Linked DNA regions of Callithrix jacchus. The protein of the gene in region 3 interacts with the protein of the main gene of each other region in a pairwise test. Links are inferred from orthologs where the notes say so. Each region holds a gene or a part of one and is shown on either strand. Other genes may lie near its edges.

Region 1 (2,244 bases), on a different chromosome or scaffold from region 3:
GGATTTACAGCAGCTGAAAGATGCCATTGACACGGATCTGCATTAGTCTGATGCCCGAATTGAGCAAAGCTGCTGATACCAGGACACCTGTGTATATGTATTTGTGTCTTTCCAGGAATTCATTGAAGAGTTGCTGTCTCCCCCTTTTGGGGGTCTGGTAGCATTTGTGAAGGAGGCTGAGGCTTTGATTGAGCGTGGACAGGCTGAGCGACTTCGAGGGGAAGAAGGTATGAGGAAAATGTGGTAATGGTGGGATCAGTGATAAGGGAAATGGAAAAGAAAAAGGAAAGGATACAGATTACTTGGGGGGGGCGGTGCAGAGTATGAAAGACTGGATCGAGAGAATCCAGAAAAGAGGGGTTTGATGGTAAGGATGGCTGTACCTTGGGGAGAACGTAGTGCAGTTGAAGATCAGCCAGCCAGATCCCTCTCTGACATTCCCTTTCCTCCTGCTATCAGCCCGGGTAACTCAGCTGATCCGTGGCTTTGGTAGTTCCTGGAAATCATCGGTGGAATCTCTGAGTCAGGATGTAATGCGGAGTTTCACCAACTTCAGAAATGGAACCAGTATCATTCAGGTGACCTACAAGTCCCAGCCCCCACTCACATCCCCCATTATTTATTGTTTTCTTACATCTTTTTGCTGGGCTTAGCATCATCTAAGTGACCCATCAGCTACTAGCTGTGCCCAAAGTTCTGGTTGAGCCCTAACCTGATTTTTTGTGTGTGTGCAGTGGCACAGTCTCAGCTCACTGCAGCCTCCACCTCCTGGGTTCAAGCCATTGTCCTGCCTCAGCCTCCTGAATAGCTGGGATTACAGGCACCTGCCACCACGCCCAGCTAATTTTTGTATTTTTAGTAGAGACAGGGTGTCACTGTGTTGGCCAGGCTGGTCTCAAACTCCTGACCTCGTGATCTGCCCACCTCGGCCCCAAAGTGCTGAGATTGCAAATGTGAGCCACCGTGCCCAGCCGCCTAAACTGATTCTTAATAATCACTGTCACCACCACTTTACAATCTGGTCCCTCAATGACTTTCTTTGACCAGGGAGCACTGACCCAGCTGATCCAGCTTTATCATCGCTTCCACCGGGTGCTGTCCCAGCCGCAACTCCGAGCCCTTCCTGCCCGGGCAGAGCTCATCAACATTCACCACCTTATGGTGGAGCTCAAGAAACATAAACCCAACTTCTGATGTGCTGAAACCGCCCTGAGATCTGCCAGTCATCTCCATGGACTTCTGCACCCCCATTCCATATCCTTCTTCACTTGGGGTCCCCCTTCCAGTTTTCCCCTTGCCTCCCAGGCCTTTTACATGGCTTACCTGCCTTCCCTCCCAGCACCTTGCTCAACAGGATAAGCTGGATCCCCTTGGCCTTCTGAATCTCCCAGTGTCTTCATATTTCCCAAGACCACTTCCCTGTGGGCTTCCAAAATGGCCTTTACCATTTCCCCAGTCTGTCACCCTCCTGCTCGCATACACCCAAGCTCTTTCTTCCCCTGTGAAAACCACTGCCTCAATCTCTGGTTCACTCAACTCTTGTCACTGTGTTCTGAGGCATGAAGCCTCAACTCTTGGAATTACTGGCAAGGGGTGACTGCCTCTAAGTCATTGTTTTATTCAAAGTGATTTCTGTAGCTTTTTGACCTAAGGTCTCAGCAATTTGAACACTAACCCCTCCCCTCCTGGCTCAAGAATTACTCCCAAGACAGTCTGCAGAAAATAAATATTTAATATGACATAACACTCTTCTCCCATTTATTTTCTCTGTCCTCCTGAAGGCCTTCAGGTGGCCCCATCTCTTCTCTAGAGCCACCTTTCTTTTCTGACTACTTCCTGGGCTTACCCCCTTCTGGTGAGTGTAACCTTTAACTTCTAGCTACTTCCAGGCCAGAGGAAGTAGGTGACCCCTGGTTAAAATGGCAGATGCTGCAAGGGCTGAGAACCAGGCTACAGCCCCAGACACTGTCCTGAGGACTCCCCTGGGACAATCCCAAGCTGACTCTGGAATTGCCTCCGCTTTCTCCGTAGCAGCTCCCGCAGCTCCTCTGATTGTGACTGTCACAGCCCCTTGCTCAAGGGCTGCACCACCCAACCCACACCCACACCGTTGGAGCAGGGATAGACCAGGCGAAATTTATCCATCTCATACATTTCTGTTTGACTTGGAGCCTTCCTGCTGCCCTCGTCTTACGCCTCATTTGAACTTAGGCTCTAGACTGGAGAGACACGATGACCCCTTTA
Region 2 (4,154 bases), on a different chromosome or scaffold from region 3:
CGTAAATCTCTGCAATCCCTCCATGAAACCGTGGGGACTCCTAACATCGCGCGTGTGAAAATACCCTGCAAACCGCAGGGGCTGTGTCCACGTGCGCTACGGCGTGCGCCAGTTTCAGGTATCTGGGTGCTTCCTGAAGGAAACCCATGGATTCCTGACTGCATCTGCTTTCGGGTAATTACAGTGTATCGTGGGAAGAATCACGCGGCTATTTTCTATCCGTTCCTAAAGAAGTCTGGGTGCCGAGTTCTCCTCCCCGGAGACCACGCCCAGCGCTCCCGGCTGTCCTCAACGGCTTCCCTGAAAATCAACCACTTGCAAGGCTTGTTGAAATCATCAGGTTGTGTGCTACACATGTGTAAAAAGAGGGAAGCGGGCGGTAAATGTGCTGCGATTGGTGGTATCAAGCAGGAATTTAGTTTGGTGAGGATCCAGGCAGCTTGAAGCTAGCTCCCCGCTGCCTAGCGCGCAGCGGCCTCAGCAAGTCAGTCTCCGTGTTAGTTTCCAACTCATTCTCTGCTCTTCGCCACCCACACACTGCAACACGTTAAAAGCATCCGCGGCTTCTTCATTCCCAGTAAAGAAATGTGAAAATCTAGAAACACTAACAGTCGGATCAACTGCTTTAAAGGTTTGGAAATGCTAAACCAACACCTGCAGTAGTGCCGCAGTTTCACGTGTGTGTGTGTGTGTGTGTGTGTGTGCGCGCGCGCGCGTCCGCACATTCCCTGTGTGTTGAGAAGCAGCACATTAAAGAAAAAGAAAAATAACGAGGAAAAAGGAAGATGAATTGCAGAAAGTGCCAGAAATAGCTATAAAGAAATTAAAACTCTTCTCCATACATACCGCAGACACACAACCTAACCTATTTATTTGTACCTAAAATCCCCTAGCGGCACCGTCACCATAAACACCAAGGGGGATCGTTAAAGAGGTCCCTGGTGGGAAAAGGGCGAGTTGGGGGCGGGGGCGGCAGGGTGTCCACGAGGTGCCGGGATACGGAAAACTAGGGTGTCAAAAGAGAGCAATAACCTGTTTTGGGGACACTTAAGGATCCAAGTGATAAGGGGTCTGGGCGGTGCAGGATGGTGGGGGGTGCGTGGGTGGATACAGAAGGGAAATGAGTGAGGGTGCATGGAATCTCAGAGAAAATCAAGGGCCTCTGAGCAGAGTGTAAAGGACGAGCGCCGCAGCTCCCCTGCCCGCCGCTCGCCCCCGCCTTCCCTTTTGCGCAGAATCCTCGCCTTGGCTGCAGCAGCGCGCTGCCCCCACCGGCCGGCGCGCCGCGATCGATCGCAGGCTGCGTCAGGATCCTCCCGGCGTATAAATAGGGGTGGCAGGACGGCGCCGAGCCGCACACAGCCATCCATCCTTCCCCTTCCCTCACTCCCCTGTCCTTCTCTCTCTCCAGGCTCCCGCCGCCGCCGCGGGCTGGGGAGCCACCGGCCGCCACCATGAGTTCCTTCAGCTTCGAGCCGTACTACTCGACCTCCTACAAGCGGCGCTACGTGGAGACGCCCCGGGTGCACATCTCCAGCGTGCGCAGCGGCTACAGCACCGCGCGCTCCGCTTACTCCAGCTACTCGGCGCCGGTTTCTTCCTCGCTGTCCGTGCGCCGCAGCTACTCGTCCAGCTCCGGCTCGTTGATGCACAGCCTGGAGAACCTCGATCTGAGCCAGGTAGCCGCCATCAGCAACGACCTCAAGTCGATCCGCACGCAGGAGAAGGCGCAGCTCCAGGACCTCAACGACCGCTTCGCCAGCTTCATCGAGCGCGTGCATGAGCTGGAGCAGCAGAACAAGGTCCTGGAAGCGGAGCTGCTGGTGCTGCGCCAGAAGCACTCGGAGCCGTCCCGCTTCCGGGCGCTGTACGAGCAGGAGATCCGCGACCTGCGCCTGGCGGCGGAAGACGCCACCAACGAGAAGCAGGCGCTCCAGGGAGAGCGCGAAGGACTCGAGGAGACCCTACGCAACCTGCAGGCGCGCTATGAAGAGGAGGTGCTGAGCCGCGAGGACGCCGAGGGCAGGCTGATGGAAGCGCGCAAAGGCGCTGACGAGGCGGCGCTTGCCCGCGCGGAGCTCGAAAAGCGCATCGACAGCCTGATGGACGAAATCGCTTTTCTGAAGAAAGTGCACGAAGAGGAGATCGCCGAGCTGCAAGCGCAGATCCAGTACGCGCAGATCTCCGTGGAGATGGACGTGTCCACCAAGCCCGACCTCTCCGCCGCGCTCAAGGACATCCGCGCTCAGTACGAGAAGCTGGCAGCCAAGAACATGCAGAACGCCGAGGAGTGGTTCAAGAGCCGCTTCACCGTCCTGACCGAGAGCGCCGCCAAGAACACCGACGCCGTGCGCGCCGCCAAGGACGAGGTGTCCGAGAGCCGCCGCCTGCTCAAGGCCAAGACCCTGGAGATCGAAGCATGCCGGGGCATGAACGAAGCGCTGGAGAAGCAGCTGCAGGAGCTGGAGGACAAGCAAAACGCAGACATCAGCGCTATGCAGGTGCGGCACCGCCCGAAACACAGGGGGGCGGAGGACTAGAGCACGGGGGAGAGTTGGTGCGCCCAGAAAGTGGGGACCAGGGGTGGTGCGGCTGCTGGCAGCTCTTGGGGATAAGGCTTGGCTCTTGGGCGCCTGTGTGGGCGGGGTGGGGCACTTGGAGGGCGTGAGCAAGGGCGCCACTGTAGTCTGGGAATGTGCTCCGTGCAGCTGCACCCGAGTTCCGCATTAAAGCTGCCCAGCCCGTGTTGGGTGGGGGAGGGGAAGATGTGGGAACTGGGCGTTGCCTGGGGCCTGCGGTGAAATTTCCTCTCTACTGACCTGTATTAACCACCAGTTACTTCGCAGCAAATATCAGATCATCTGGTTAATAAATAGTAGAGTGAATAACTCCCAATTAATTCTGAAAGGTTACGGTGACAAGCATGCTTTATGACTAGTTATACCAACCACTCCCTTCCTTTATTTAGTAGGTAGACAGGAAAATAGTTAACGTTGTTTTAGGCAGTTAACTAGGATGTTCATTTCTTTTTACTCTTTTCTTTTTCTTTGTGCAACATTTCTATTTAAAACATCTCCATCTTCTGGGAAGTAGAAAAAGTAAAATTTTAAAAAGATCTCTATTTTAAAAGATCCCCATCTTCTGGGGAGTAGAATTTTTTTTTTCTTCTGGGGAATAGAAAAATGATTTAGATACATAGGAAATATTTTAGAGAGAATAATTTTTTTCTCGTCTGGCTATTTTCTTCTGTACAGAAAGGCATTAGTTTCTTGGCATGTAACCCAGCTAAAGAAGATTTAATCAGTGGGTGAGAAACAGTTTTTCTATCATCTTAGTTTCCTTGCAGGCATTTTCTGATGATCATTAAGCTGTATTAAGTAAAGAAATAGAAGAAAAGAATTTTCTTCCATTTTGTTTGTCATCTCAGGCTTCATGAACTTGGCTATTTTAGGCAAGAAGGTTTTTAAAAAAATACAGGAAATTATTCTAGGGGAGATTTTATCAAAGGTGTGCACCTCGATTTTAATTGAAACTAGGCCTTTACAACTACACTACAGTAAAGTAATAGAAGATATTTATGCTTGGATATATTTTTTTTTTTTTGTCTTCAAACAGGACACGATCAACAAATTAGAAAATGAATTGAGGACCACAAAGAGTGAAATGGCACGATACCTAAAAGAATACCAAGACCTCCTCAATGTGAAGATGGCTTTGGATATTGAGATTGCAGCTTACAGGTGAAAATAGAGGGGCAGAGACAGCAGCCATTAAACCTTAGGAAGAAAATCAGATCCCAATTAAAGTTATGTTGGATCAGAAACCTTCAAGAATAGTCCTTTGAAATAATGAAATGTTAGTTTTTTGCTTCTTCCAAGAAGGTATTTAGATATATAAGAATTTAACCCTGTAATTAGGAGTCTTGTTTTTAGCTTCCCATTACCTTTTAAATCTGACAGGACGATTTCATGTGTTCCTGTTGTTGGTTTCTGGTCTCCATCACAAAATCCCCAGGCATTAAGTTTTGATAAATCCCAGCCCTGCTCCTGCTTCCCTTAGCCTTTAGGGTGCTCAGAGCAAGTTGTGAAACACAGGTTTCTTTTAACCTCACCTTCCATCTGCATCCCCAGGAAACTCTTGGAAGGCGAGGAGAC
Region 3 (3,060 bases):
CTGACCCGTGCATGTTTCAGCAGAGAATACAGTTGACCTTTGAACAATGTGGCTTGAACTGTGTGGGTCCACTTTCACATGGATGTTTTTCAACCAAACAAGGATTTTGTGCTTTTGTGAGATGCGAAACCCATGTACGTAGAAGGTTGATTGTAATATATGCAGGTTCTCCAGGGCTGACCTTGGGACTTGAGTATGGTATGGTGCAGATTTTGGCATATCTTGGAACCAATCTCCCTGTGTATACTGGGGGATGGTTGTATATTTAAATGTGTATGTAGAGTCAACAATTGGTGAATCCAGATGAGAATACAGTGTCCAAAATGTGTACTGTTTAAACAAAAATATAACTGAAATGTTTAAACTAAAAAGTGGGTAACTTTTTCCAGAAACTTGGAATTTCCAAATTGGCTGAAGCATTGAAATAGATGGTCCCTAATATACTAGGAGCCCTTCCTAGGTTCAAACACTCCCAAATCAAGATCCCAAGATCTTCTGACTGATTTCTCAAAGCTATTATTTATTCTGTACAAGCTTCCACTGTACATTAGACATTCTTCTACTCTTGCTTACACAGTAAACAAGTGTACACTTGCCCTTGGGCTCAGGTTCACAGGTCTTCCCTGTAGAAGGTTGTCAGGCCAGTAAAACTTAGGTTATCTTTCTCTGATGCCTCCTCCTGGAAGCCTGGAACGTGCCAGGCTCTGCGGGGCACAAGCTGGGCCCAGCTGTGTGGGTGTGCACAGGTACACAGTGCTTCAGTCCTTGGCGCTGAACAGCTTTACTCTCTAGGACAGCACAGAGTTTTGTCCAACTATGTAGGGCAAAATTGAGCCCACGGGAAGGAACCATACCACTGAGGCAAGATGTCCCCAAATACCCAGGCTCCAGCTCCCACTGCAGGGCTGAAGACCAATGCCAAGAGGAGCTGATGGGCAGCCTGGGCATCCCTGAGAAACTCGGTCCAAAGGGGCTATGTCTAGGAGGCTCTGAGAAGGGGGTGGGGCAGGAAGGCCAGGGGAAAGGGATATTAAGAGAATAAATAAAAGGAGAGAGAAGCTCTAGGGATGGGGGGCTTGTGCTATCCTTCAAACAGCTGGGGAGCAGACCAGGGGCGGGTTAGAGGACGTGATGCACTGTGGGAAGGGATCTCCTTCTACCTGCTTTCCTCTTCGAGTCAGTGCAATGCACAGCCAGCCGGGGCTAAGGGCAGGACCCCTCTCCCGGCGGGTTTGAACACAGCACTGGGGAAAAGGGAAGAGGCTGAGGGATATTTCAGGGAGGGGCAGTTACCCCCTGGTCCCCAAATGCTATAAGGCACAATTCTTGGAGGCAACTACATTCCATTCAAAACATTAAAAAAAAAACAAAAACAAAAACCAAAACAAACCCCCCCAACCCCCAAAACAGAAACTTGTTTTAGATCCCAGGTCTACTGTGGTTGTGCTTGGGGCCTGGCCAACGCCCGCTTAGCACCATGGGGGCTAGATTAAAAAAGTAGGACTTGGAGAGAGAGAGAGGAAAAAAAAAAAAAAAAAAAGACGAGTGCAATGTCCCCCAGCTGTGAAGAGGCCTGAAGGAGAGCATTCCAGTCTCAACACTTTAGTTACGGAAATAAAAAAAAGTTGGGCTTTTTAAAAACCAAAACCAGCGTTTTCCAAAAATGTCCCTTCGTCTGTCCCCCGGAGTTAGCAGCGTGAAGAGGGCTCTTGGCTCAAGGGTGTTTTTCGGCTCTGGACGGGCAAGCGGTGCGGGTGGAAATGGGCGCCGGCTCCTCCGCGGCGCGGGCGTCCAGGCGGCGATGCTCCCATCGGGCTCCAGAGGGCGCTGTCCCCCGGGAGGCGCGGGCGCTGCGGCGGGCAGCGGGGCAGCGAGGGTCTTCTCCCCACAGACGCGGTTGTTTCTGACACACAGGAAGACCACAGGCTTACAGATGCAAACGGAGACGCCGAGGGCACGGGGCGACGCTGACTCCACATCCAGGCGATCTTCCCTGCCGGGCCATGGCTCAGGAGCGCCCGGCTCCTTGCTCCAGACCCCGACCAGGCTGCATCCTCTCCGGCTCGGCAGCTTCAGGTTTGTTTTTCTCTTGTCAGGCTTGTGTTTTCTTTTTTGTTGTTGTTGTTTTTGTCTTTTTACAAAACTCAGGGAGCGGGGCCACCACGGGGAAGGGAGAAGGGACGTGGCTCCTGGCGCTACATTCGGGAGGGAGGGCTGGCCAGTTCGTAGAAGAGCAGGTAGGCGTCGCTGGTGCGCACCTGGCTGGAGGACATGGGAGTGACGCTGCGGAGAGAATGAGGAGTCAGCCCGGAGAGGGGGCAGGACCCGGAGACCCCGCGCTGGCCTCTTCAGCCGTGCCCCCGAAGCCGGCCTTGCTTTCAGGGAGCCTCCCCACGGGCAGCGGCTTCGTGGCCCTGAACTTCCCCGTCCATTCTGGTGGAAGCCGTGCGGGGGAGGGGGGGGTCGGGTGGCTACAGTCAGGGGCCCGGCCCAGCCCTGGCTCTCACCTGGAGTCGTTGAAAGTGTGCCACTCGCCTGTCCCTGGACTGCGACAGTAGGCTGTATAGTGGCCGCCCATGGTGGTTCCAGAGTGATTGGACACAGCGTACAGGTTGTAAACAGCATGGTCTGAGAAAGAGGCAGCCGTCAAGCCCCTGAGGCCCCCTGCCCCCACCCCCTCCCTCTAGCCTCTCCCGCGTGGTCTGGCAGCAGCTCGCTGGCGCTCCCCTCCTTCTGGCCTGCACACCTGCGTCTTCATTCTGCCTTGCCTACTCAGAGCTACTCACTGGTGTTTTCTGAGGCAAATTCTCTTAAGTCCAGGTCTCTAAGGGGGAAGTTCACGAATGTTGTGAGCTTGCTGGTGCGGATCCTGGATTCTGAGAACCGCTTCAAATCTGGCATTGGCTTGAGTCAAGGAGAGTCAAACCAACGCAGAAGAGCAGACAGCAAAAGGAAAGCCTACACGGTCCATTTCCTATGGCTCTGTTCCCCTCACCTATTGGCCCCTTGACATCAGTCACCCTTGAAAGTCATGTCCCAGCCCCGATGGATCTTAAGGAT
Region 4 (4,144 bases), on a different chromosome or scaffold from region 3:
ATGTTTGGAGTGACAGTGCTGTTGATGATTGCCTGGGGTTGGGGGACAAAGTTCAAGGTTGATGGGACGGATAGTACGAGACATGAAACCCCCAGGTATCACCTTGTATTAGCCTCTGGAAAGTCTTTACTCTGAGCCATTTCAGGGGACAGACTAGGGCCCCGGAAGGCTCAGAGTTTCCCATCCCTTGGGCACACAGCAAGCCAGCCACCAGACCCACGCGTGTCACCAGGACCCCTGGTGCCTCTGCCCCACCTAGACCCCACCCGGACCTTGGCGCCCCCAATGCTGATGATGCGGTAGACATTTCGGGTGGCATCGTAGAAATAGGAGACCGTGAGTGCATGCTTGCCCGCCGGGATCCAGTTTCGCTTGGTGGCCGGGTCAATTTGGAACACGTGCGCCCGTGTACTGAAGATTGGCTGCTCCCTGTGTGGGGAGAGGGTGATCAGTAGGGGCCGGACATGCCCCCTTAGAAAGCTCAGGTCCAGGCTGGGGAGGTGGGAGCTCACCTGGCTGTGGACATTGGTCAGGCGGGGCTGGGCAGGCTCTAGGGGGCAGCCAGAGAGGTGGCAGGAGCCGCTGGTTTGGCCCCTAGGGAGAGAGGAGGGACTATGAGTGTCCCTCAGGCCAGGTTGAGGGAAGCCAAGCAGGTTCCAGCTCAGGACCCATTATCACAGAACTTTCCATCAAAAAGGCAAGAGAGGCCCAAAGCACTGGGTGTGCTTTGGGAGGCTGAGTCAGGAGGATCATTTGAGCCCAGGAGTTCGAGACCAGCCTGAGCATCATGGTGAGACCCCACCCCTACCCAAAATTTAAACAATTAGCCAGGTGTGGTGGCATGTGCCTGTGGTCCCAGCTACTGGGGAGGCTGAGGTGGGAGGATCGCTTGAGCCCAGGAGGTCAAGGCCGCAGTGCAGTGAGCCATGATAGCACCACTGCACTCCAGCCTGGGCAAGAGAGCAAGACCCTGTCTCCACAAAACAAAGAAATGATAGAAAGAAATGAAAAGGCCAGATTATCATTATAGATCACTCAGAGCAAGTGGACCCCATCTTTCTTTGTCTGGGGGAAGCCCTCACCACACCCTGTACAGGAGATGGCCCTCTGAGAGGAGCCAGGTGGCTGCTGTTGACATTCAGATGTAAATCTCTCATCGTCCTAGTTACGGCACCCCCCACCTCGCCCCGTGAAGCCCCCTCCATCCTGGGCTGAGCTGTGAAGGCCACATATCTGCTGAGTTCTTTCCATTCACCCATGACCGGCCAGAGAGAGGTTCTCCATCAAAAATGGGGCATTGAGAGGTGTGTAGTACTGGGAGACCAGTTCCCCACTGCGCCCTGCAGAGGGACCCCCCCAGCTCCCACCCTAGGCTAGAGGCACACCTGGCAGCCCAGACTCCAAATCCCCAGGCAGCCCCCAGCCAAGTTAAAAAGACAAGATGTAGCCAAACAGCCAATCCCAGTGCCCATCACAGGGAGCAGAGCAGAATGCCAATCCCAATGCCACCACTGGGAGAACAGGGCTCCCCAACCTCCCCATTGGTCCATCCAGCCACCCGGATGTGCAGGGGACCAAGGAAGGATTTGGGGGAGGGGGAAGATAGGCGGGGAGGCCCCAGCCCAGCAGCCTCTATGGTCAAAGGGGGTATGCCCCCCCATCCTGTCCTGGGCAGCTGCTGCGCCGGTCACAGGGTCTGAAACTGGAGCCCCTGAGTGGGGGTGGGGCGGGAGCTCTGGCCTGGACCGGAGGTAGGTCCTGCGCCAGGTGGGAGTTGGGGGACGCAGGGGTCCCCGGAACCCAGGCCCTTCCGGTCCGGCCGCTCCTGCTGCGACTTGCAGCGTTTGGGGAAAGTTACTCACCAACTAGTCATGCGCTCGGATGCCGCCGGCCACGGGGCTCCCGAAGGGGGGTCCGACACCGCCCGGTGCCCGGGATCCCCAATCTGGCCGGTGGGTGAGGCCCCGTCCCATGCACCCCACTCCGGAGGCGGGGAGGGGGCCAATATTCATTCAGGATCCAGTCCCCACCCGAGGCGGGAGGACACCCAGTGCGCGACCCAACTCCGGGACGCGCGCCCTGACCCTGGAACTTCCGAGATTCCCGCGACAGCCCCGTCGCTGGGTACAGAACTTCGGGGATACCTCTTCTGCCTCCTCCAACCCCAGGTCCGGAACTCCGGGGACTGCCCTCCGTGCCGCCCCCTCTAACCCGGTCCGGAACTTTGGGGACCCCCTCGTTGTCCCAGACTCCTAAACTTCGAGGTGGACCCCCTGCCACCCTTCCAGTCCCTGGTCCCGGACGTCGGGGCCCCTCCCGCGCCTGGCTCCCACCCCAGGTCCGAAACTTTGGGGACTCCTTCGCAGCCTCCTCCAACGCCGGGTCCAGAACTTTGGGAACCTCCCGCGCGGTCCCCTCACCGACCCCGACTCCAGAACTTCGGGACCCCTGCGCTCCCTCCGGCCCTGGAACTTGGGGGCCCCTCGCGCCGCTCCCAGTCCCCAGGTCCGGAACTTCTGGGGACCCCCCGCGCCCTTCCCTTGGCCCCGCGACTTCGAGGCCCCCGCGCTCGCGGCGCAGTCTCGGCCGGCCGGGCTCACCCTGCCGGGTCGGCGCCCAGCGAGTGTTCGGTCGCAAGTCGGGTGCGGCCCCCGCGGCGCTGACTCCGCGCAGCCGGGCGCCCCGCTCGCTCCCTGGCTCCCGGGCCCGCGCCCTCCGCGCCGCCCTCCGCGCCGCCCGCGTCTTTGTCTGCGCCGCCGCCGCCGCCCGCGCCGCCTCCGGTCCCATCGCGGCGGGTCCCGACGCGGCCGCCGCCCGCCCCGCCTCCCGGGGCCGCCGAGGCCGCCCCGCTGCGCCCCCTGCCGGCTTTTTGCACCGGGCCAGGTGGGGGGAGGGGCGGGGGATTGGGGGAGGGGGCTAAGGGCGGTGGAGGGGGACTGGGGCGTTGCGGGGGTTCGGGACTGGGAACAGAGGGTGGGGACAGAGAGACAGAGGAGAGGGACATCTGGGATGAGAAAGAGACCCAGAAAGAGACACGGCGGAGACAGGCAAAGAGACAGGAAGCAGATGTAGAGATACAGTTGCAGGGACGGCGATGTGACCTCACCCTCCTGTCACGTCTCAGGGGACAGCTGCCTCTGTCCCCACTACCTGAGGTCATGACTTTGGGCCCATGAGGAAGGTCAGGTCCCTCCCGGGCTGACGTGGGTGGTTCAGTGAGGTTGCAGAGGGGGCGGTGGGTCCCTTCTGGCCACGGGGCTCTCGTTTCCTGGCAACACCCATTGAGCACCTACTGTATGCACTGTATGTACTGTTTGCATACAGTAGGTGCTCAATGGGTGTTGCCAGGAAACGGAAGAGATCGGCTTCGGGAGGGAACAGGAAGCAAGACAAAGAGAGAGAAGCCTTCCTGTCTGTTCTGCCAGCTCCATCCCTGGGCAGGGACATCTGTCCACCTCTGTCCTTCCCAAGACAATGGTAAAATGCCCATGATGGTTGGATTAAGGTTATCATTGCTAGTTTGTGGGTCCCAAGATCCAAAGGCTTAGGGAATGTCTCCAACGCATGGGTGTGTCCCCTTTGTCACCTCTGGTCACAAGGAGCATCCCCTTCCCACACTTGCCAGGAAAGCATCCTTCCAGAGCTGAGGTGGGATCCATCTCCCCAGCCCCAAGCCCATGGGTGGAACTTGTCAATCCTGGTGCTGCCCTATCTCTGGCACCTTCTCCAAAACCGCACATTACCGTCGGTTTGTGGGCAAAGTCCCTGCAGCTCCCTGGAACCAAGGGCTGTGGCGCCCTACAGCTCTGAGCCTTGCATTTGAGTCTCTTTCTTTCTTTCTCTTTCTTCCTTCATTCCTTCCTTTCTCTCTCTCTCTTTTTTCCTTTCTTTCCCTCCCTCCCTCCCTCTCTCTCTTTTTCTTTTCTTTCTTTTTTAATTAATTATTTATTTATTTTTAAAGACGGGGTTTCACCATGTTGGTCAGGCTGGTCTTGAACTCCTGACTTCAGGTGATCCGCCCACCTCGGCCTCCCAAAGCAATGGGATTACAGGTGTGAGCCACCGTGCCCGGCTCTGTCTCTCTCTATCTCTCTCTCTCTCTCTCTCTCTCTCTCTCTCTCCCTCCCTCCCTCCTCACTTTTTT
Region 5 (2,778 bases), on a different chromosome or scaffold from region 3:
GCATGCGCGCAGCATGCCCCCCATAACCCCCAGTATCCGGTCAGTGCGGCCAGGGGCGGGGCGGCCCGGGGGCTTCATACTGAACCCCTACCCTGCTCCAAGTTTCAGGGTCGAGGGGCACGGAAGCTGGGGGGGCTTTGAGGCCTGCGCGCGTCCGGGGAGTTGCTGCTGCGGAATCCACCCCCTGCCCGGCTCCGCCCCCACTCCCACCCCAGCCAAACTTCGCAAAGGGGGTAGGGTTGTTCTTTTCTCTACAACCATAGTTGCACAACAACAACAAAACCCTCTTAATCCTAATTCCAACATCGAAGTGCGACCCAGGGCTTCACAGTGTTGCTACAGAACCCGCTGGTGCATCCCGTTTCCACAGGTCCTCAGGAGGCTGGGGGGACTGGGAGGGCAAGCAGGATCGCCTCAGTACCCCTCCCCCTTTCCAGCAGGTCCCGCTCCCCACCCCACCCCACCCCACCCAGTCCCTGGAAAATAACGGGTGTGGCATAAAGAGTTGCATATTTTACTTTATTTTTATTAAATTAAAAGCTACAGTCTGGCAGCGATTCCAGAACAGGGTAAGGAGGTTCCTCATAGGGGTCAGAGAAGAGCGGAGAAAGACAGACTAACAGAGACTGAGACACAGGCGAGAAAGGACAAGGTTGAGGGAGAACTGGCTCCATGGAGGGTGGCGGGGAGCTCACATCAGCCCAATTCCTCCTTCCCTGCACCCCAAGTTCAGCAGTGGAGCAATAAGTGGGGGTGATGGGAGATCAACAGACCCTCCCTTCCCCACCCTAGGTCCTTTCACAGCTTGGTCATGGAGCACAGCACATACCAGAAAAAGCCAAGGGCAATGGAGGGGCAGGGAAACTGGGTGTATATGTACACAGGGAGCAGGGAACAGGGCCTTGGAGGTCGGCCTCTGCCAGAAGGGAGTGGCTCACACTGCACTGAAACACTTGGCCAGTGGAGGACTGGGGGGAAGGGATTGCCCCCCTCCCTCTCTGAACTCCCTTCCCAATTAGACAGGTCCCCTACAGGTGTGGTGTGGGGGCAGGGGGCAGAGAGTAGAACAGAGGCTTCTGCTGGGTCCTAGTAGAGGTGGACAGCAGGGGCCTAGGCAAAGGGGATGTCCTTCAGTCATCTGTGATACCCTTGGCTCTCAGCTCCTCTTGCACCCGGGTCAGGTAGGTGGGGTCCGGGTACCCAAACCTGGGAGCAAAGAGAAATGAGGGTGAGGGTTGTCAGCTGTTTGAACTTGCTATTATCCCCATGCTTACCCTCATTCTAGGTGGCTCAAAACACCTCCCCACCTCCCCTAAGGGGTACACCTCCAAACCCAAGATAACTTAGCCCAATTCTGCTTATTTTTGTAGGTTAAGCTGGGCACATCAGGGCCAGGTTGAATGAAGGAGAAACTGAGATGGCTGAACAGTTTGGAAGTGGTCCTCTCCAGTTAGGAGGATCCCAGAGCAAGGGGGTTGGTGGTTCCCTCAGTGGAAACTGAGCAAAGGGGAGGAGCCAAGGGAAAGGTAGTGAAGAGGGGTCGCACAGCTGGGGTCCCCCTGTGCAGCTGGTCTTGTGGTGGATGTCGTTCCAGGTGATGACATTCGGTCTCCCTGTGGTCATGGATGTGCCGATAGTGAAGGTGAGACGCTGGTCAAACGCCTTGCGGAACAGGGTCAGCACCTTGTTGCCCTCAGGGCAGTCCGGGAGGTAGGCCACCCGTGTGGTGCCAGGATACCGAACTCCTGGGTTTGGGTGTTCAGCCTGGGAGGAAGGTGAAGCAGAGTGGGCAGTGAGCAGCCAGCCATCCCAAGACCCAGATGTCAATGGAGGCGGCCAGCCTCTGTCTTAGCACCCCCAGCTAATGCGAACAGGGCAGTAACAGGCTGACAGCTTTCCAAAGGAGAGATTATAGGGCCTGGGCAGTCAGAGCCTGTTTCAGAGCATAATCTTTATGTGTTAAGAGGTTTTTTTCTGCTGTCTCAATCCCTCAGCAACAATCCATTCAGCAACAAATGGATTCTCAGAAGTGATGGAAGGTGGCTGGTCCCTGCACTCCAGACAACTCAGCAGAAATATGAAGACAGAATAATCTATCTTTTAGCCTTCCCTTCACCTGAAAATACTCCTAATATTTCTGCCACTGTCTAACCTGTTCCATCTTCCATTACTCTTCTGTGCAGCTTCTTTTTTTTTTTGAGATGGAGTTTTATTCTTGTTACCCAGGCTGGAGTGCAATGGCACAATCTCGGCTCATGGCAACTTCTGCCTCCTGGGTTCAGGCAATTCTCCTGCCTCAGTCTCCTGAGTAGTTGGGATTACAGGCATGCACCACCATGCCCAGCTAATTTTTTGTGTTTTTAGTAGAGACGGGGTTTCACCATGTTGACCAGGATGGTCTCTATCTCTTGACCTGTGATCCACCTGCCTTGGCCTCCCAAAGTGCTGGGATTACAGGCGTGAGCCACCGCGCCCGGACTCTGTGCAGCTTCTTTACCCCTCTGCACCCAGAATTCCACATTACTCTTTGTCCAGCAGGAAGACACCTATAGGCCCTTGACCACTCCTGTTTTAACCTTCCACTGGCATCAAGGTTTTGCTCTCATACATCTGACACAGAGAGATGCTCCTGGCTCTGTTGGGTTGTCAGATCCCTTCCTATTGTGCCTGCCTGCCCCTAAGCCACCACCTCCACAGAATTTACGTCTGCCAAATGTCACCATAGTATTTATGTTCACCAAGGAAATAATATGTAATTTCTTTCTCTCATATCTGATG
Region 6 (3,500 bases), on a different chromosome or scaffold from region 3:
TCAAGAGCTTCCTACTCTAAAATTGGCCAGCCACGCACTGCAGATAATGGTTGCTAGTTAATTGCTGTCTTAAAGCCAAAGACAGGTCAAAATATTGTGAATGCCTCTAGAAGGTCTCATGTCATTTTGAAAATTCATCCATACATTTTAGCAAGGGGAAAACAGCTACCATGTAGCACGTTATACCCCATAATAGAACTTTCAAGCAACAGAGGAGTGCCTCCAAGAGAAGCTAAAGGTAATGAATGCCCTGCTCTTCTCCATTTCCAAAGTCCAGAAGAGCCAAGGAACAGTCTTGTCATGTAGTGGCTCATTAGTGGCACCGGCCCACCCATAATGCTAACTCCACCTGCAAAAATCTTAGACCTACGGTGACTGTGCTTCTAAACAGGCCACAATGTTTGTTGCATTCTGGAGAGGTGGCTCTGGAAAACAAAGCTCTCCTTGTTTTCAGGCCAGTGCTCTCAAGCGTTCTTCCAGCTACCCAGCCCTACTGATGCCAAAGAACTCTTGATCTCGTTAACTGTTCACTGAGTTCCTCAAGAGATTTATTATATTAGTATAAATGAGTAAGGCCTCTCCTTCTTCCACTATTGAACTGGGAATGAGTATGATTAACTTACAGAAACAAAAACTGATGAACTAACGGTGATCTTAAACAGTGCTACAGAGGAGGATTCCCCTCTCTAAAGAGCCTGCTCTCCCCCACGCTGTACTCACCAAAAACATCAAGTGCCCCTGAAATCCATGAGTTTAGTCAGCCAAACAGTCAACCTGCAACAGTGATCTGGGTGTGCAGCTTTTCAGCTGGTTCACTGCCCAGCAGAGCCTTTTCTCCTGTGTATTTTGAGCAGCCTGCTAAGATGTATATTTTAAAAGCCATCCTCCAAAAAGACAATTGCATTTTCTTTTCCTCACATGGCTTGTTATCTTGCATTTGTGTCTTCCTTCCCACCCCAATGTTCATGATTGACGAATTCCCAATAGCACAAAATTGGCTAGGCTTAACACACCATCATCCATAAACATGGAACCTCAAGGAAAGCGTCTACATTTGCAGACTCCTCAAGCAAAAATCATGACCACTGCCACACACAGAAAAACAAGGGTACACCATAAAATTGGTCAGAGAAGAGGTGGCCCGAAGGCTGATCCCAGAGTTTACTGTTTGAAAGAAGTTTAAATGAACTCAGTTTTGTCCTGGGAAGGGGCTTACAAAAGATGCAGCAGCCCGAGAGGAACTGTGTATTCTTCCTTTAGTCTGCCTATGACATGCCTAAATCTGTGCAGTCCTCAAAAGATGACCAACCATTCACAGAAGGAAGGGTCCTTAGGGTCTCTAGCCCCATCACTTCATGTGATAGAAAGGCAATGCCTTCTCACCCTTTTCCACTCTGCTGATCTCATTTAAGAGAACGGGAGTCCAGAAGAAGCAAATCACAGCTTTCCAGAGGGACAGGCATAAATTCCACTTTGCAAATGGAGAGCTTCCTGATGGCAGATGGGTGCACACGGAGGGAGCTGAAGCACCATTCAGAACAGTGTTTCCCACAGCAGTGCACTGTCGCAGAAGTGGCAACTGGTAAAGCAGAGGTTGGCCTTGCCCTGGCCTCAGGCTTAGTGATGTGCTACTGCAAACCTGCACAACAGGGAGTCCCTGCACTACCACTGGCTAGAGAGCTCTGGCTTTCTGACCATGGGACTGCAGCCCAAAGCATGGCAGGTGTCCAGCCAGCAAGCCAGAGAGATCAGCCCAAGGACCACTCAGAACCCTTTAGACGATTTTAGGCTGCTCCCCAAGTGATTCTTCCCAACCAACATAGGCCAAAAAACCATTGCTGGTTCCTGGAAACGACCAAAACTGTCGTCCAATTGAGTCAGCCAGGACAGCAGAGAAAGCTTTCATTATTAAGGGGACAGCGGTAGACTTGCAAGCTCATCTAAACAACTCCCTCAAAGCAGACTCCAAATATTTCACCTCACAAGAATGGGTGACTCTGGAAGGCTGGCATTTGCTGGTACGACTGAACAGACTGCAGGTGTGGAATCCAAATGTGTCTACAAATGTTCACTGATTGTCATTCTGTTCTCCCCACATTTTAGTTTTGCTCATTTTGTAGCCCACAGCCTGTCTCGTGGAATAAAACAAGCAAATGAAGAAGGCACACTGTGCACCCAGGGGACTCATCAGGCAGACTGCAGCGGTGCCCCAGAGCTACTCAGCTCAGCCTCAGTCACCTGCAATGAAAAACACCTCTTGCCATCAGAGTCAGCAATACATATGGGACTTAAAACCAAAACGAACTCATATTCTCTGCTTTGTAGGAAAGAATTCATATTTTCACAGGAAAAAAGGGGGGGCGTGTTTTTAATATCAAACTGTGGCCGTCAAAGTGTTCACTGACCTTTAATAACTGACCTTTTCATTTTGAGATATAGGGTTCAATAAGGGTAGTCCAGAAATCACTTCTATTTTACTCAAGGGCTGTGAGGCCTCTACCTCAGGAATCTCAGTTCTGGTGAAGCAGTGTTTTGGGAGGCATTGCGTGAAACACACCAGTTGAAGCAAAGTTCCCAAAGGCCAGGGGGGCCTATCACAGTCATCTTGTGCTACCAAAGCACTGAGCAGCCAAGCCCATAAGCAGAACAGGAGGGGAGAGACCCAACAAGCCAGCGTCCCTAGAGCTCTAGGCCATTACCCCCTGTACTGTGTTCTGAGATAAGGCTGCTCTCCCGCTGCTTCCCCAGGAAAACAGTGCCCTAGTGTGATCTCACAGCCTTCTAGGAATCAGCTGAGGACTTCCATTGAAAATAATGGAAATTCACATTGACGTACTTTCGATCCTTAAAAGGCAAGTCTCTCTTGATCCTTGAAGATATTCTCTCAAGCCAGGAAGACAGGTAAGGTGGGGAGGAGAGAAGGTTAAAAAGGAGGATGATCCATTTCATCGAGCCAAGAGGCTGGGCTAGTTGGAAAGTCGGGATAGCCTACACTGCTTCCTGTGGAGATGTCAGAGGTGGGTCCCCCAGCCATGGTTCTCAGCGTCTGGCTTACTCCCTGCCCTGCATGCGCAATGATGCCCAAATTACTGTCCACCGTGTAATCCAGCCCATTGAGCAAAGGAGCGTGGGATGGCAGGGACGATATGGAGGATGGAGACTGGGGGATTCCATAGGGGCTCCCATCCCTCAAGTCCTGATAGGATTGTCCTGTCCCGTCCATGGAGAAGCTCCCATTCATTAACTGTCCGCCTGTAACGTCCCCCACGTTGCCATAAATCCTATTGGTGTGGCCAAGTTCTGAGAGAATCTGATCCTCTGTGGACAAAAGAACGGAGATTTATTGTCAGCTACCAGGACTCCGATGGTCCCCTGCTCTTCACAACCTAGGAATACACGTGACCAGGAAGATACCCGAGGATGGCAGCAGCCTTGCAGCCAAGCACGGGTCAGACACACCGATATGGCAGCCTGACATCCAGAGGCCAACCCAGGTCAAG
Region 7 (3,500 bases), on a different chromosome or scaffold from region 3:
AAGACAGATAGGAGCCCTTGGCCCTGAGGTTTACATTCTAGTGGGACTTTAAATCTTGGACTCTCAGAGCTAAGAGACTTTTGATACTCTCTAACTCTACCTCCTCAGGAAATGCAAGCCCAAGGAGGAGAAGTGGCTTGTCCAGAATCAAAGAACAAATTAAGGACTGAGTCAAAATGGAAATATGGGGCTAGCACCTGCTTGAGAGGCAACAACCCCAGGGCGTGTGTGGCAAGGACTCGAGCAGGGGTGTCTAGAGAAGAGAGAGTAGGCAAAAAGGGCAGCAACAGAAGAGCCATGCTGCATGCTCCGTGCTCTGGGGTCCCTCCAGCTGAGGCCTGGGCCCCCCAGCTCCCCATTCGCCCTTGGCACCAGGGGCCCCCTGCCCCTTTCTTCAGGGCCCCAATGGGAAACTGGAGCCCAGGATTGGCAGCGTGGAATCAGGGGACCCCACTGGACTCTTACCAATTTCTCTATCGTGACATTGAGTTGTTTGTTTGTTACATAGCTGGAGTCCAGGGCTACCGCTAGCTGTTGGTACCGGCTCTGAGGCGCATGCAGAGAGGAGGAGTTGGAGGAGGATTGGGGGGAGAGGTAGAGAGAGCAATCATTAGGGTTGGGGGGTGTGTGGGCTGTCTCAGCTGGCAGAGGGGCACCCAGCCCTCGCTGTGGGAGGAGGTTGGAGGGCTGGCCTGCAGGGTCACTGAGCCACGGCCCAGGGCCTCTTACCTCCAGGTCTTTCAGGTTAGCAGATGATGCCAGGCCCTCCCCATTGACACATGTTGTAGACTATAAGAGACGGGAATGCACATGGAGATGTTCTGCCCTCCCAGTGTCTAAGCCCTCTGACTTCCTTTCTTCCCCCTCATCTGGCAACATTCTCTTTTCTGCCTAACTTGGACCCTTTGTCCTGTAAACCCTTTTGTGCCAACTTCTCTCATGGTTCTTATTTCCCCACCAACCTTCCCTCCCGAGCACCTCTCATCCAGTGCTGCAGCAGGATAAAATGATGCAACCAGTCACAGGCTCCAACCCCTTCATGTGTACAGCTTCAAGGGAGAAAGCTCAGGGAAGAGGTGACTCCCTCAACATTGCCCAGAAAATCAGCTGGTCCCAGGATCTTCCCTCTCTCATGAATCCCTGCTTCGGTTTTTTTCTGTCATACTTTCCTCCCCCCTACACCCCACTCTGGGCCTCAACTTCTGAGGTACCTCACAAACAAGACCGTTGAGCTGTTGGGAGAGTTGTCGCAGGCTCTCAGTTGATGAGAAAGTCCTAGGAATGGAGACACAGGGGTCAGGGGTACAGGTGGTTCAATGGGAAAGAAGGTCATGGGCAGTGGCCTCCCTGACTCTCTCCACCTAGAGACTGCTGCCCCAATAGGAGACACTCACTTGGTTTCATCCATAAGATTAGGGACGTTGTCAGCATCATGATTCTGTGTGGGAAGAAACATATGAGATGGTCATTCAATTTCTGGTAAGAATCACCCAGGATGGGGTGAGACAAGCTCCCAAACTCATTCCAATAATCTTCCATCTCCCCAGACCTCAAAGAAAAGCCTAGTCTGAGCCTTCCCCCAGCCCGGTCCCTAGGAAGAGCTGTTGGCCCTAGGGAACAAGCTACCTGTAAGAGAAGAGATCCATACTAGGTACAGGAGGGCAGGGGGCAGAGGGGGAGGAGGCACGAACCTGAGGTGCCACCATGCTAGTGAGACTGGCACCAGGGGAAGGGACACCGCCAGGTAACACGGTGTCATCAGATGGTTGTAGAGAAGCAGCATTGTCCTTGGGTGTCTGTCATAGAACAGAGCAGGGGGTTAGGGGACCATGTGGGAGAGAAGGTGCCTCAGTGCCATGAACACAGGGTATGGAACAGGTAGGATGGGTGTTGCTGCAGTTAGAGTGACAGTCACGCATGCTAGGAGCCACTCAGGGGTGTGTATATGGTTGCCCAGGCCTTGGGCTGCTAGACAGCACTTCAAATGGTCAAAGCTCAAAGCAGGGGCTGCACGGCCCCCTTCACAAACACAAGGACCTCACTCTCCCTGGAGCTCAGCAAAAGACAGCAGCAGGCTCTGACCTGTGAAAGCCACAGCAGGTGGGAGGAAGGTGTGCCAAAGTCAGGGAGAAGAAAGGCAGTGTTCTACCAGAAGGCCAGTCTGTGCTGCAGAGTGACACTAACTGGGACCCTGCTGGGCAGAGGATGGTGATGAGGAAGTAGTTGTCTGGGCAATGCCCAATGTAGCTATCTGCCTCTCTCCTCCTTGCCTCCCTTCCCTTCTCCCCGGTGGTGGCACAATCATAGCTCACTGCAGCTTCCACCTCCTGTGCTCAAGCAATCCTCCCACCTCAGCCTCCCTAGTAGCTGAGATTAGAGGCACACACCACCATGCTCAGCTAATTTTTACAGACACAGTCTCACCATCTTGCCCAGGCTGGTCTCAAAGTCCTGGACTCAAGTGATCCTCCCACCTTGCTATCCCAAAGTGTTGGGATTACAAGTGTGAGCCACTGCACCTGGCCTATTGGCTGTGTTTCTAATTCAGGCTTTTCAGGAAAAAAAAAGTGTCCCAATTAGAATACAAGCCTCTCCCCACTCTCTGGAGGTAAAAAGAGAATAAACCATGGCCACCACCCCCACCCTGACCTCTTACCTCCAAAAGCATCTACCCAACCAAGAAACCACCCAAGAAAACAGAGGTAAGACATCTGCCCTATGGCTCTTGGCAACTTGGAAGTTGTGGGGCCTCTTTCCTGGGAATAGCACCTGGGGACAATTATAGGATTCAGGACTTGGAGTCATGTGGAGCCTCTTCTTTCACCCCAACTGGACCTACCTGCTTGACCAAGACCCACCTAGCCTCTCTCCAGGCTCTGGCTTTACTCCTGGCCCAAGCCTCTGGCTCTAGAGATCTAATATCCGACAGGCCAGATGGGCAGACAATGGAAAAAGCTGCTGACCAGCAAAGCTTGACAAGAGAGAAACAACAGGGAGCCAAGGCCTGGCCAGGGAAGCTGGGTCTGGGGGAAGTGGCTATACCTCTCTCTAGGGAAAGGACTGCCTGCTCACTGGACCCTTCAGCCCTGATCTCTGAAAACCCGAATCTGCTTCCTTCCTTAGAGCAAGTGCTGCAGAGGCTGGCAGAATTGAAGATGAGCCAAGTTGTCTTTGCATCTTTGCAAGTTTACTGTGACCATGGAATCTGGTGTTGCCCTGAAAATGTCTAGAACTGAATCTAATAGGTCAGAGCAGGGGTTCAGCACTGGCCAGGCATGAGCCTTTGGGGAAGGCTGGCATTCCTAGCCATGTAGGCTTTAGGTCCCTCCTGGCATCTTGGGTTCCCACTGATCTCTAGGATTAGACACAACAATGTTCAGAGGAGGGGAAGTTTTCTTTCTTCTTTTTGTTTGAGATGGAGTATTGCTCTGTCGCCCAGGCTGGAGTGCAGTGGCGAGATCTCCGCTCACTGCAACCTCCACCTCCTGGGTTCGAGATTC

Evidence for each region.
Region 1: the proteins of USP2 (region 3) and VPS52 interact in binary tests that used the Homo sapiens proteins (3 or more experiments, as listed by UniProt). The two-hybrid records come from large-scale screens. The link is inferred for Callithrix jacchus from reciprocal best matches to the Homo sapiens genes USP2 and VPS52.
Region 2: the proteins of USP2 (region 3) and NEFL interact in binary tests that used the Homo sapiens proteins (3 or more experiments, as listed by UniProt). The two-hybrid records come from large-scale screens. The link is inferred for Callithrix jacchus from reciprocal best matches to the Homo sapiens genes USP2 and NEFL.
Region 4: the proteins of USP2 (region 3) and HOMER3 interact in binary tests that used the Homo sapiens proteins (3 or more experiments, as listed by UniProt). The two-hybrid records come from large-scale screens. The link is inferred for Callithrix jacchus from reciprocal best matches to the Homo sapiens genes USP2 and HOMER3.
Region 5: the proteins of USP2 (region 3) and DTX3 interact in binary tests that used the Homo sapiens proteins (3 or more experiments, as listed by UniProt). The link is inferred for Callithrix jacchus from reciprocal best matches to the Homo sapiens genes USP2 and DTX3.
Region 6: the proteins of USP2 (region 3) and LHX4 interact in binary tests that used the Homo sapiens proteins (3 or more experiments, as listed by UniProt). The two-hybrid records come from large-scale screens. The link is inferred for Callithrix jacchus from reciprocal best matches to the Homo sapiens genes USP2 and LHX4.
Region 7: the proteins of USP2 (region 3) and GOLGA2 interact in binary tests that used the Homo sapiens proteins (3 or more experiments, as listed by UniProt). The two-hybrid records come from large-scale screens. The link is inferred for Callithrix jacchus from reciprocal best matches to the Homo sapiens genes USP2 and GOLGA2.

The regions. Positions count from the first base shown.
Region 1 is NC_133505.1:41,493,327-41,495,570, reverse strand, and holds the end of VPS52 (vacuolar protein sorting-associated protein 52 homolog), read left to right. Parts: intron 1-115; coding exon 116-227; intron 228-459; coding exon 460-578; intron 579-1,047; coding exon 1,048-1,194; 3' UTR 1,195-1,744; downstream 1,745-2,244. UniProt on the Homo sapiens protein: Acts as a component of the GARP complex that is involved in retrograde transport from early and late endosomes to the trans-Golgi network (TGN).
Region 2 is NC_133514.1:16,529,667-16,533,820, forward strand, and holds the start of NEFL (neurofilament light polypeptide), read left to right. Parts: upstream 1-1,354; 5' UTR 1,355-1,454; coding exon 1,455-2,501; intron 2,502-3,615; coding exon 3,616-3,740; intron 3,741-4,130; coding exon 4,131-4,154. UniProt on the Homo sapiens protein: Neurofilaments usually contain three intermediate filament proteins: NEFL, NEFM, and NEFH which are involved in the maintenance of neuronal caliber.
Region 3 is NC_133511.1:19,006,506-19,009,565, forward strand, and holds the end of USP2 (ubiquitin carboxyl-terminal hydrolase 2), read right to left. Parts: intron 2,895-3,060; coding exon 2,787-2,894; intron 2,629-2,786; coding exon 2,508-2,628; intron 2,284-2,507; coding exon 2,196-2,283; 3' UTR 501-2,195; downstream 1-500. UniProt on the Homo sapiens protein: Hydrolase that deubiquitinates polyubiquitinated target proteins such as MDM2, MDM4 and CCND1. Isoform 1 and isoform 4 possess both ubiquitin-specific peptidase and isopeptidase activities.
Region 4 is NC_133523.1:17,630,848-17,634,991, forward strand, and holds the start of HOMER3 (homer protein homolog 3), read right to left. Parts: upstream 2,801-4,144; 5' UTR 1,863-2,800; intron 595-1,862; 5' UTR 527-594; coding exon 513-526; intron 430-512; coding exon 273-429; intron 33-272; coding exon 1-32. UniProt on the Homo sapiens protein: Postsynaptic density scaffolding protein. Binds and cross-links cytoplasmic regions of GRM1, GRM5, ITPR1, DNM3, RYR1, RYR2, SHANK1 and SHANK3.
Region 5 is NC_133510.1:62,088,591-62,091,368, forward strand, and holds the end of DTX3 (putative E3 ubiquitin-protein ligase DTX3), read right to left. Parts: intron 1,765-2,778; coding exon 1,547-1,764; intron 1,207-1,546; coding exon 1,131-1,206; 3' UTR 501-1,130; downstream 1-500. Other genes in the region: ARHGEF25 (rho guanine nucleotide exchange factor 25), read right to left, coding at 1-78. UniProt on the Homo sapiens protein: Regulator of Notch signaling, a signaling pathway involved in cell-cell communications that regulates a broad spectrum of cell-fate determinations.
Region 6 is NC_133519.1:23,121,052-23,124,551, forward strand, and holds part of LHX4 (LIM/homeobox protein Lhx4), read right to left. Parts: intron 3,319-3,500; coding exon 2,924-3,318; 3' UTR 1-2,923. UniProt on the Homo sapiens protein: May play a critical role in the development of respiratory control mechanisms and in the normal growth and maturation of the lung. Binds preferentially to methylated DNA.
Region 7 is NC_133502.1:176,875,508-176,879,007, forward strand, and holds part of GOLGA2 (golgin subfamily A member 2), read right to left. Parts: intron 1,797-3,500; coding exon 1,692-1,796; intron 1,439-1,691; coding exon 1,395-1,438; intron 1,276-1,394; coding exon 1,212-1,275; intron 790-1,211; coding exon 730-789; intron 547-729; coding exon 466-546; intron 1-465. UniProt on the Homo sapiens protein: Peripheral membrane component of the cis-Golgi stack that acts as a membrane skeleton that maintains the structure of the Golgi apparatus, and as a vesicle thether that facilitates vesicle fusion to the Golgi membrane.